3 linked regions of the Drosophila melanogaster genome follow. The gene in region 3 interacts genetically with the main gene of each other region. Each region holds a gene or a part of one and is shown on either strand. Other genes may lie near its edges. The genes, in order: arm, hyx and lgs.

Evidence for each region.
Region 1: of lgs (region 3) and arm, changing one suppresses a phenotype caused by changing the other (phenotypic suppression), as found in Drosophila melanogaster (3 studies listed by BioGRID).
Region 2: of lgs (region 3) and hyx, extra expression of one rescues a mutant of the other (dosage rescue), as found in Drosophila melanogaster (one study listed by BioGRID).

The regions. Positions count from the first base shown.
Region 1 is NC_004354.4:1,899,047-1,902,802, forward strand, and holds the start of arm (armadillo), read right to left. Parts: upstream 1,601-3,756; 5' UTR 1,464-1,600; intron 1,128-1,463; exon of another isoform or gene 998-1,127; intron 565-997; exon of another isoform or gene 258-564; intron 1-257. Other genes in the region: Ldaf1 (lipid droplet assembly factor 1), read right to left, coding at 1,720-1,967, 2,019-2,231, 2,391-2,568, 2,667-2,756; CG32801 (uncharacterized protein), read right to left, coding at 3,106-3,416, 3,576-3,741. UniProt on the Drosophila melanogaster protein: Isoform neural may associate with CadN and participate in the transmission of developmental information. Can associate with alpha-catenin.
Region 2 is NT_033777.3:9,036,900-9,040,655, forward strand, and holds the start of hyx (hyrax), read left to right. Parts: upstream 1-1,860; 5' UTR 1,861-2,023; intron 2,024-2,255; coding exon of another isoform or gene 2,256-2,280; exon of another isoform or gene 2,281-2,572; intron 2,573-2,771; 5' UTR 2,772-3,062; coding exon 3,063-3,193; intron 3,194-3,268; coding exon 3,269-3,756.
Region 3 is NC_004353.4:442,234-445,989, forward strand, and holds the start of lgs (legless), read right to left. Parts: upstream 1,679-3,756; 5' UTR 1,161-1,678; coding exon 980-1,160; intron 922-979; coding exon 631-921; intron 157-630; coding exon 1-156. UniProt on the Drosophila melanogaster protein: Involved in signal transduction through the Wnt pathway.

The sequences.
Region 1 (3,756 bases), on a different chromosome or scaffold from region 3:
AAAGAGACGGAGAGTATATGAGTAATGTGCTGGACAGTCAATAACATGGAGTTCGTGTGTGCTTCGGATGGAGACCACGGAACTCCACTAAATGGGGGCCCCGGAAAGAAGGGCTTGTTGTGTTTGCAGACTGCCAACAGACGCAGATATCGTCCGTTAGTCACTTATTCTAGTCGTTGGTCTTTTTTTTTAACTCATTTCCGCTTTGAGATGCCGAAGCATAATATGAAATATGCTGCGTATACAAACAAACGCACTAATACATTCTTACGCAGGTAGAACGGGTATTTGTGGGTATGTGTGTGTCTACCTGCCGAAGACTTTGGCCACGAACCTTGAGTTATTTAATTACTTTGTTTAGCACTCTTTCAAATCTCATGCACTCCAACAAAAAACAAAATGGATTTTTCACTTCTCTCGAAAAAGGCGCAGCGGAAAATGCGACCGACCAGCACGCTCGTTTAAACGGAACAGAATCCAGATGCGGAGAGCGCAAGCAAAGCAAGGCACTTGCAACACCGCGCGTGCGGAGTGCGGGAAAGGGACAGGGAAAGAGACTGGGAGAGAAAGTAAAGGGCCGCGGCAGTGCAGCATACAAATGCAGTGCTGCGCAGAGTTGCCACACATCCAAACGATTGTGCCTACACACACATACTCGCGTAGGCAGCTCAGAAAGAATCCCAACTCCATTTCAGTTGTCGATTAGATAAAACACCTAACGATAAGCCTGCCTCTAGATTCGAAGAAAACGATTTCCTGTCTGTGGCATTGTTTACATTCCAGCGAGCAACAAAACAAGCGCCCGATTTACGGGGGAGGAATACATAAAAATGCCGTTTGTGTGTATCCAGATCATACACACACACATACACAGGCGCACATCCAGCGAACCCCTGCCCACCCCCGCGCCGACTTGTTTGCCATGGCTTTCCAACTTTCATGGCACACAGAAACTTTGGCTTTCCAAACGGATTCACTACCGACTAACAGTACTCACCGCGTCCAAGGAATTTAAGTCTGCTTTAGAGCAGGATTTATTTATTTAAAACGCTATAAGAAACAAAATAACAGCGAATTGTCTGCTCGAGAAAAACTGTGTATATGGCGACGAAACCCAACTAGCGATGGCCTGCTGCTGTCCCGATAACTCGATGGGCCCTGTGCGATAGGCCAAAGGAATTTTTCAAATTTTTTTTGTTCTGAGAACACAAAAATCTCACGAAATTTGTATAGCATTTCATCCTTAAGAAACTCAATTCACAATATTTATAATTTAGCTAAGGCGAATTTATTTCTAGTTCATGTTATCATGTTATCTCGAACTCACCGTTTATCTTGTATAAACATTTACCAACACAAGCACCTGAGTGTACATGAGGGTGTATGACAACACAGGTACGACCAAAAACTATTGTTTTTGGGCGACGAATTAAAGAAATATCTATGACTTTACTATTACTTACCGCTTCGAAAGTAAATTTATCTGCTCAAAGGCAGGTTAACGCACTTTTGACGCACTTAGATATTTAAATTCGACAAAAATCCCCGACTATGAAAACTGTGTATATGAGCGCAGAACAGATAACCGATAACTCCTCTATCGCAGGTGGCTGCCAACTTGCTTCAAAATAGAAAGCGCACTTTTTAAATTTCCAAAAGTATTCAAACACTGGTCTTTAATTTCTTAATACATATTTAAGTTGGGCAAGCAATATTGGTTTATGCAGTCGTAGAAGTGGGTTCATCGGTTATGGTCACAGCAGCTGGCGGCGGATCGCCGGCCTTCCGTTGATCCCTAAAGAACATGACCCACGCGCTCTTATGGATCTCTATTCCATCACATAGGCCATACACCTGGGCAAATCCGAAATAGGCAGCAACAGCGGCGACACCGAAGAGAGGTACCATTATGACTAGTCCTCCCAGGCAGGCGAAGAACACCATGGACACAATGGTCAGGAGTGTGCCTAAAACGAGTCGATAAGAACGTGATCTCTGGTAAACACTACGGAACGCACCTTCTAGCACCAGCAAACCTGTAAAGGTCATAACCATGGTGGCTATTCCAAACCCAAATATTATAAGGAAGGGCAGCATGAATACAAGACCACCAGCTAGCAGGCAGATAGCAACGTGCGGATTCCGGGTGCACCAGGCCGCGGTGGCCTCCAGGAAATCATTTCCACCTAGCTCGGACATCACAAAATCTGCCAGGCGGCAGATTTGAAGCCCTGCAATATGGCAACGTTATAACAAAGGCAACTTTTGTTACGCGGTGTGATGCATAAAACAGGTTAACAACCGTACAGAGTAGTACATATATAAGTAACTAATTGTGGCAGTAAGCAATTAAGCGCTTTTACAGATAGTACTTCAACTAGTGGACATACATGACCTGTAGAGAGTCTGGAGCAAGCTCTCCAGGAACTGGTCGCCAGTCAGAACTCCTGCACTACGATCGCCTGGGCCATGTATCTTTACGTGCTCCGGTTTGCTCTCTGTTCCCGATCCCGCAGACTTCTTGGCGTTTGCCTCTTTGGCTGCTTTGCGAGCCTTGTTCGAGTGAGCCTGCAGAGTCGATCAAATCAAATCAGTTATGAATATTATGTGAGTCAAAGAACCCAAGTGATTAGATGCCGGCTGCCACTGAGTCCGTGAAACGCGACCTTTGACTTGCGATGCCGATTCCAGCCGAAATCTACGGATTCTTCCGAAGATGCCGGAACACCCACTTCACTCACACCCGTACCCACCATGTTGCGTGGCTACTGCGAGAATCTCAGGCGGTTGCTGTGCGCATTACAGGAGGAGTCTGTTCCAGGTTCATTCGCCTGCTTGAAGCAACAGTAAATGAAAACAATATAAATAAACAAAAAATAATCGACGTCGTAGCCCTGAAACTAAATCATCGAGGGAGAGCTGCCACCTTTTTTTTTACTAAATTTGAATTAGACAAGATGCGTTTCTTAATAATGATCTAGCGTGGCTTAGTTTTGCTTTTTAATCATAATTAATTTGTTTACAAAAAAAAAATTAACACTATGTTAAAAAAAAAATTATAAATTTATAATGGCGGTCAGCGTGCGACATTTCTTCGCCGTAGGATTAGTGAAGCAGGAATCTGAGTCCGTTAAACGGAGGACGCGCCGTAATCCTCTCCGCCACCAAGCGCTCCCCGTGAACAGTCATGCCGCAGCGCACCTTCTTGGCATGCAGAAAGTTCAGATCGGCGGCTCGCTCTCCACTTTTGAGCGGCAACCAGCCGTACACCTGCGACTCCAGGAGCGGAACAGCTTTTCCGAGCTGCCTCTGACGCTCCACATGCTTCTCAGGCCAAGTGTGCCGTAGGTACCTCAAGGTATCCGTCGGCTGGCGTTGCTCATACTGGGCGTAGAACTTCCGTGTTAGCGGATGAACTGGAAGGCAGGAGAAGATATTATTAGCAGTAGTGAACAATTTTGTAAACTATTGTAAAACTTTCAATGATTAAAGTTTTATTTTTACAGGAGCGCTACGATGCAACAAGCTTGTCCTCAAACATGATATACCGAGCTAACCAGAAATCTCTAGCATACCTTGGCTCACTGGAACAAAGGTTTCGTAAAGTCGGATGTGCCGGTTAGATCTATGGATCAGCTCCTTTTCGAAGTCGTAGGGCAGCGGTCGGGGATCCCCCTCGCGATGATCCAGTGCGTCGCCATTCTCCTCGACCTCGTCGGTGGTTTCGAGTCCCGGTTTCATGCTCCTGCACGTCTA
Region 2 (3,756 bases), on a different chromosome or scaffold from region 3:
ATTTAATGAAAAAAGACGAAGTGCAAGAAAATAAACGAAAAGATACAAGAAATTGGCAGCTGTCGATGGGAAGACAGCTGAGAATTCCCCGGCTCTTCACATCGATCGCCGATAGCCGATCAATATACACATAATTAAGTAAAAACTGTAGCAAATGCCAATGTTTAATTAGAAAACACATATGCAAACGGGTCATGGGGAAAAGGCAGTGCTGTTCGAAGGAAAAGAAAAGGGAAAGGACTTCAGACAGGCCAAGGAAAATGAAGGAGCCGTTTGAGGAGCAGTTGTCGTGTTTCATATATATGTACATACATATGTATAAATACCCGAACTAATCCTGCGGACACAAAAGGGAATTCAGGAGAACAGAACCCAAAATTGCGCAAGCACTTGAGAAACAGAGCAATAGTGGAGGAGGTATTCCCATATGTATTCCCAGTCTGCAAGGATCGAGGGTATAGTGAATGTTTGTACATATTATATTGTGGAGAACAGAGTTTGAGGATATGGTTAAAATTACACGTTGACAACTATTCTAAGATACTACTAATAGAATTCTAATACTTCTTTGCAGACAAGATAGTATTATACATCTTCTACATAGCTTTAAAGAAGAAGGTCTTTGTAGATCTTAAAGATTCCCATACCGAGGGTTGCTTGCCGTCCATATACTCTCTTCAAAAAACCTGACTTATTCAGAGGAACTCCTCCATATTTTGAGGATACCTGCGACAGCAGTTGGCTTCATCCCGAAACTCCGATCAAGATCTAACAAAAGGGAACTAGAATGCATCCCATTTGCCAACTGCAACTTAAACTTCCACATCCACTTCCCATTTCCGCATCCTCGCGTGCGTACGCTAATCAAATATCAACATCGCCGAGGAATAACCGCCAATGCAACACATGCGGGGGAAACTGCGTTCCGTTAGAGAAATATACGTTCTGTTGGCCAAATGTTTGCCTTTTCAGGGGGTTTCGGCTTTCACGGTTTTCATATTGCAGTTTTTTCCCGCCCGTAAAATGGAAAACCTCCCTTGTCCCATGAAAAATGCGAGATCTGCGCTTGGAAGATATCTTTTCGGTTACTCCGATGCAAACAGGACATTTGGCAAGTCATAGAAAGAAGTTCCTGGCGGGTTTCCAGCCCACAGCATGTGTCTTTGTCTCAGGGTCAGGGAGTTACAACTCGGTGATCCTACCTGAACCGAGCGCCTATTGGGGTTTACTTATTCTCTCCTCCGCCTTTGTGCGATCCTTCGTCCTTCGTCTTGTGCCCGTTTTGTGAGAAATCATTGCCATAAACTCTATAATTTATTGTCCACAGCTGCATGGGCATCTTGGGTCTAATCGAAGCTGATACGATTCGATGGAGTCCCTGATGATGTGGATGTGTTAAGCAGGTAAGTGCAGTTCTGCAATCCCCGTAAAATACACCTGTAAGGATACGATGTCCATTGCGCCAAGCTTCGCGTCCTACAATCAGACTTATTTTCCTGAGCTGATTTTATGTCGGGATTTGTAGAAATCTTCTTTTTTAAATTTTTACCACCTTATTTTTTTTGACTTTTCGGTAGCCTAAGCTGCTTACTACTTTGATATCTCTATAGGCGGGCTCGGAATAATTGTTTAAGTGTACTTGCATGGGTTATACATCTTTTGCTTTTATGGTCAGTTCTTTGGGGATGACCTCTAATAAATAAAGTTTAATTTATTATCACAACGTTACACCAGTTTCTAAACGTTTAAACGTTTGTTTTGGTCTTTTTATTTCATATGGATAGAATGTGAATGGAAAAGCTTCAAAATCACACGAGCTTTTAAAATATTTTCAAGGAACCTAATAGGAAATATTTTGAAATCACAGATATCATATATTAGGTTTTAAATCCCAACAGAAATAATGTTATAGTTAAAATCAGGTTTTACACCTGTAAGATTAAAATCAAGTAACAAAAACTATCGACACTAACGCGAAACCAGCGAGTGTCATCGCTAAGGGGGATCAGCTGTTTGCCAACATGTGAGTGTGTGGGTGGTGGGAAGGTCACAAACCTATTGGAATGCCCATAGTTTTTTAATTCATATTCAAGCGGGGCTTATAACTGTAATACACTTTACTATAACTTTAGGATTCCATTTTAAATAGAAACTTTACCAACTTATGGCGATTCGGCTTATTTGTTGTAAGGTGACAGACAAGCTAAATCCTCCTTACGCGACATCCCATGTTAAATCAAGCCTTGTTTACTTACCTATTTTACCAGCCGACTGACCCATTGCTTAATTAAAATCACAAATTGCGTGTTTCGCTTCCCGAAAGGCACAAGAAACAACAGCCACAACAACTAGGACACACACAGCTTCTTTGGCATTGAATTTTCACGTAGACCAGCCCTCGCATAAGCTCGATATTATGTGCACCGTGAGCCGATCGTGTGCTATTGGCAGGCTAGCTCACTTCCGGAATCATAGGCGTTAAATGCGATGCATTTTAAAGCTTTGCCTAATTGTTATTTGGATGGAGCTGCCGGTCGCAAGGCTTTTTTTTAGTGTGACCGCGTTAGTATTTAAACATGACAGTCCAGCTTTGCCATCTGCCACACAAGAATATACCATACAATATTTATAAATAAACAAATCACTAGACGCGCTAGAAAAGTCATTTACTTCGTTTATTAATGATGCCAATTCCTGAAGATGTGAAGTGTTCTAAAGAGTTGTCGTTGTATAACGTGCCATTAAGAAAACTAATTGTTAACAAATCACAGGATACGAAAAGCCGTGACTTAGTGCGATATTTTTTAAAGACGAAACTTCAGCGATTTATACCAAATGAGAAGCGATGCACTCTCTATGATATTTGGTATTTTTCACCCCGCCTACGGTCACACTCCACGCAACCTCTGGCAAAAAACTAAAAATATGCCATAAAAAGCGAGAATCGAAGTTGTTTATATATCTTTCGCGGATTACAAAGTGCGTAGCCGCCGCGCGCCTTCCAGAGCGACACCGACCACACACGCCCGCCGCCCGAAAACACACAGAAAACCGGCAGAAAAATGGCAGATCCGCTCAGCCTGCTTCGGCAGTACAACATAAACAAAAAGGAGATTGTCGAGCGAGACAGCCAGATTATCTTCGGCGAGTTCTCCTGGCCGAAGAGCGTGAAGACCAACTATCTCAAATATGGGTAAGTGCGGTCAGGACGACCTGTGGGACAACTAGGATTAGCCACTAACTCTTACACTTTTCTCCCGTCGATTAGATCCGGTAAGAAGGGCGCTCCACGTGAGTACTACACGCTGGAGTGCCTGCTGTACCTGCTCAAGAATGTGATGCTGCAACACTCGGTCTACGTGCGACAGTGCGCCGCCGAGGATATACCCGCTGTGAATCGGCCGGATCGTAAAGAGCTCCTGGCCTATCTGAATGGCGAGACGCCAACGTGTGCCAGCATCGACAAGAGTGCCCCGCTGGAAATCCCCACTCAGGTGAAGCGTGCCGCCGAGGGTGAACCTTCCAGCGTTGAGGTGGCTGCCAAGAAGGCCCGCTTCGAGGAGACTCAAGTGCAGAAGGTGCGCGAGCAATTGGCCGCCCGATGGGATGTCAACCAGAAGGAGACCGCTGTCAACATGGACAACATCAAGTCGCTGTCCGAGACGATGTCCGTTGAGAAGATCGCCGCCATCAAGGCAAAGCGTCTGGCCAACAAGCGAACGACCATTAAAAGGACGGACAATGACGAGGCCATGG
Region 3 (3,756 bases):
ACATCGTTGGCGAATGATTTTCTCTTTCTTCTTTTTTCATATTTACTAAACTGCCTAAGACATCGGTGGGTTCTTCCTTGACAGTCAAACTGGATGTAGAACCTGTTTCGCAGCCGCCACCAGCTGCTTGACCTTTTGCTTTATTAGAACTTATTTCTGAAATGGGACATTAATGGTTATGGAATATTAGGACAGCTTTTAAATAAAAATTAGCTTTTACACCGCGTCTAGTAGCATCTGCGTAGCACGGCTATTCAAAATGCTTTAGCAGTTTAACTAAAAATTATTGTGACTATTATATCATTTCACTCAGCAAATTTTTAAATTAATATATTCTTAAAAGTACAGCAATTTTTTCTCAAACTAATTAGTTGATCCAATTTGAGGTCTTTCTTGAGATGTTTGAGTACATCTATGATATGCATTCCATCAAGATGAATTAATATTTTTATGAGCTTAATTACGGTTCCAAGAAAATGTCTGTTTTGATCCGAGCTTCGCGAGTTTTAGTCAAGTTTACAAGTTTAAAACTAAAATTGTAAGTATAGCAAAAAAAAAACAATTAAATGATTAACAAAGGTGAACGCCAATACATTTTAAAATTTTAAACCATTTGTAGGGCAGTCTTACCAGCTTCCTCGTCCTTCACACTACATTTGTTTTTCTTCGATTGCTCGTCACAATCTACCATCTGAGTAAGGCCCACTGTAGCAGACACATTGCTGCTATTCGAGTGTTCACTGGAGTTTTGTGGAGAAGCGACTAGGCACGAGTTGATTGTGCTCGTAGAGTTCTGCCTTAGCATAGTTTGTCCCTCGGGCAGATTATTTCCACTGCCTGGGGCTCCTCCAGTGGCAGCTTTATCACTAGTTGATAGTCCGCTTTTCTCAGTGCCTTCTTCTGGCGTCAATTTTATTTGATCTGGAAACACAGAAAGTTGTTATAATTCCGGACAAAGAGAAATCAATACAAGTCTTACCCGGCGACAAAGTAGAAAAGGGTTCGCTATTAAGGGTCTTCGGAGAACTTCTGCTCGCCGCCGAGTCCCCATTTCCGATCGCTGCTCCAGGATTTGATCCAGATGCACTTGTTGAGGAGGCATCGGAGTTTGGTTGCGGCTGTTGTTGGGTTGGACTGCGGGGCATTGTTGTCGAGAGCATCCTAGAAATCGAATTCCTTCAAATCGACCTTCCCAAGATCCCTTGTGTGGCTAATTGCTCAAGTAGCAATTAAAATCCATCGTTTTATTGCTTTTGAAGTCGGCGAACGCAATTAAGCATATTTAGACCAGGAACTGCACGCAGGCACTCACCACTCATATGCATGCGATTACATCTCACGTGAGATACGCGAAGCAAAACACGATATCGTTTTAAATTTTACTGGAGGATTTTGTATTTTTGTATTTGTATGTGGAATTCTCCTATTCTATGTCACAATTTTATGTATATGTGCAAATGCAATAACACTTCGGAGCATCGTATTAAGCTAATGAAATTTTGGGCTTATAGGCCCAAATGTTCCTGCTTTAACCGTGCGTTATGTTAGCAGGAGTCGAAAATTGCGAACATACTTTGGAATAAACAGCTCGCATAATAAGAGAAGCAATCTAATATATAAAAAATGTAATTACTACCCTTATATGTGACCAGACCGCGATAATTCGAACAAACCAAATTTGGTATAATTATTACTTTCATACTAGAATTCCAGATCTGGTAGCTTTAAGTCATAAATAACCAGGGTATTCCATAAAACATCCACTACTCATTTAAGACCCTATTAAGCAAGACCAATGCAGCTCAGTCAGCAATCTCATATTTTATTATTTTGAATTACAAATCGAAGCATTTGCATATATATATGGAAAAACATATTTTTTCTTGGGTGGTTGTCGTCCCCGTTGTAATTTGAGGTAATAATTTTCTTCACATTGGTTGGAAAAAAAAACTTAGTTTTAGTTCCGTTTATTGCTTTTTTATTATCTATATTTGCTCAATAACAGGGATATCGCAAAACTCTTATAAATATCTGAACAGCCGGCGTCGTTGTGTTGTTCTCACAAATAATATAGCCCATTGCACGTGGAGTAAAAGATATATGTACTTTATCAGGATAGTTATAGATGAGTTGATCTGGCTATGTCCGTCTTTCCGTGTGTTTCTGCCTTTATATTTGTCTGCAAAACACCCATAAGCCACCCAAAACTGACACGTCCACATTTGTCAAAGCTATTTTAGCTTTTTTCCCATTTTATCTTAACAAAAAACTTGCTGAGTTGCGGGTATCTCATATCGGGGATATCTACTAAAGAGTTTTCTCTTGTTTTGCATTAATTCATGAATAAAAAATGAAATGCAATTATGTTTTCATTTAAACAAAAATGTTTGTTGCTTAGACAAATCCCAAAACAGTATTGCTTCTATGATTTGAATGTTATTTAATATATATATGACAGCTATTTTGGTCTTGAATCTCTAAATCAAGATACGCATTAAAAAAAAAAAAATTTGTAAATTTTTTGGTCCTAGGATATTAAGCATGTTTTCCATAGTCGCAAACACCTAAGCGAGATTTTAATTTATTAAAATTTATTAATTTAAATTTAAATTAAATTTAATTTAAAATGCTTCTATGATTTGAATGTTATTTAATATATATATATATATATATTTTGGTCTTGAATCTCTAAATCAAGATACGCATTAAAAAAAAAAAAATTTGTAAATTTTTTGGTCTTAGGATATTAAGCATGTTTTCCATAGTCGCAAACACCTAAGCGAGATTTTAATTTATTAAAATTTATTAATTTAAATTTAATTTATTTAAAAGCAATTAAGAATATTTATGATTCCATAAAATGCTTATAAGTTAAAAGTTTGATTTAATGCTTACATTATATAGATTACTAACCAGTAAGTGTTGCCTCAAAAAGTTCTTTTAAAAATCCATAATAATTTTAATTAACTTGAAAATTTTCACTTTAAGAATTTAACGGATATATTGGTATCTGTGTGAAAATGCTATTATCCATGCCACAGTCACCTATCTGAGAACAACATACAAATTTGAATGTACTCCAATTATTAACTGTTTATTCACTAAAATGTTGCAGATAATAAAAATTATATAATACATTTAGCTTAAGCATTTATTTCTTAAGCTTCAGTCTAGTGGTAGTTGTTTTAATTAGAACTTAAAGCGTTTTCATTTCCCAACTGTTTCTTTGGAATGAAATGTCTCGCCCTGTTCCTGTCCATGAACGTTCGCAAGAATTATAATTTCCAAGATTGGTTCCAAGGTTTAGTTCCAAAATATCAATAGGAAATCAATAGAGTACAGATATAAATTTATTTAAATATTTTTAATCACCAAGAAATTTTTGTTCAATTTGTTTTGACTTAACCAGAACCAGGTGACGTATCACAATTTTAACAGTCAATGCTAATGTTTCAAAATAAGTTTGTCACGTTTAAAGTTCCGCTAAGATTTGGAAACAATGGAGCAGTGTGTCACGGTAAACCAATTTGTGAAAATCGTACTGAGAATTTATTTCCGGATTTGGTTGAAAGTTACTTTTTTGAAAGATTTTAACTGTATAAATGTATAGTATTAAGTATTATGTAAAAAAAATAACGACATAACTTGAAAAATTAATTTTTTTGTTCGTGTCCGATAGTCTATGAGCTAATCAAAAAACAAATTCATTACATTTGCTTTGCAAATAAAAAGGTAAGATGTATAATCACTAACTTA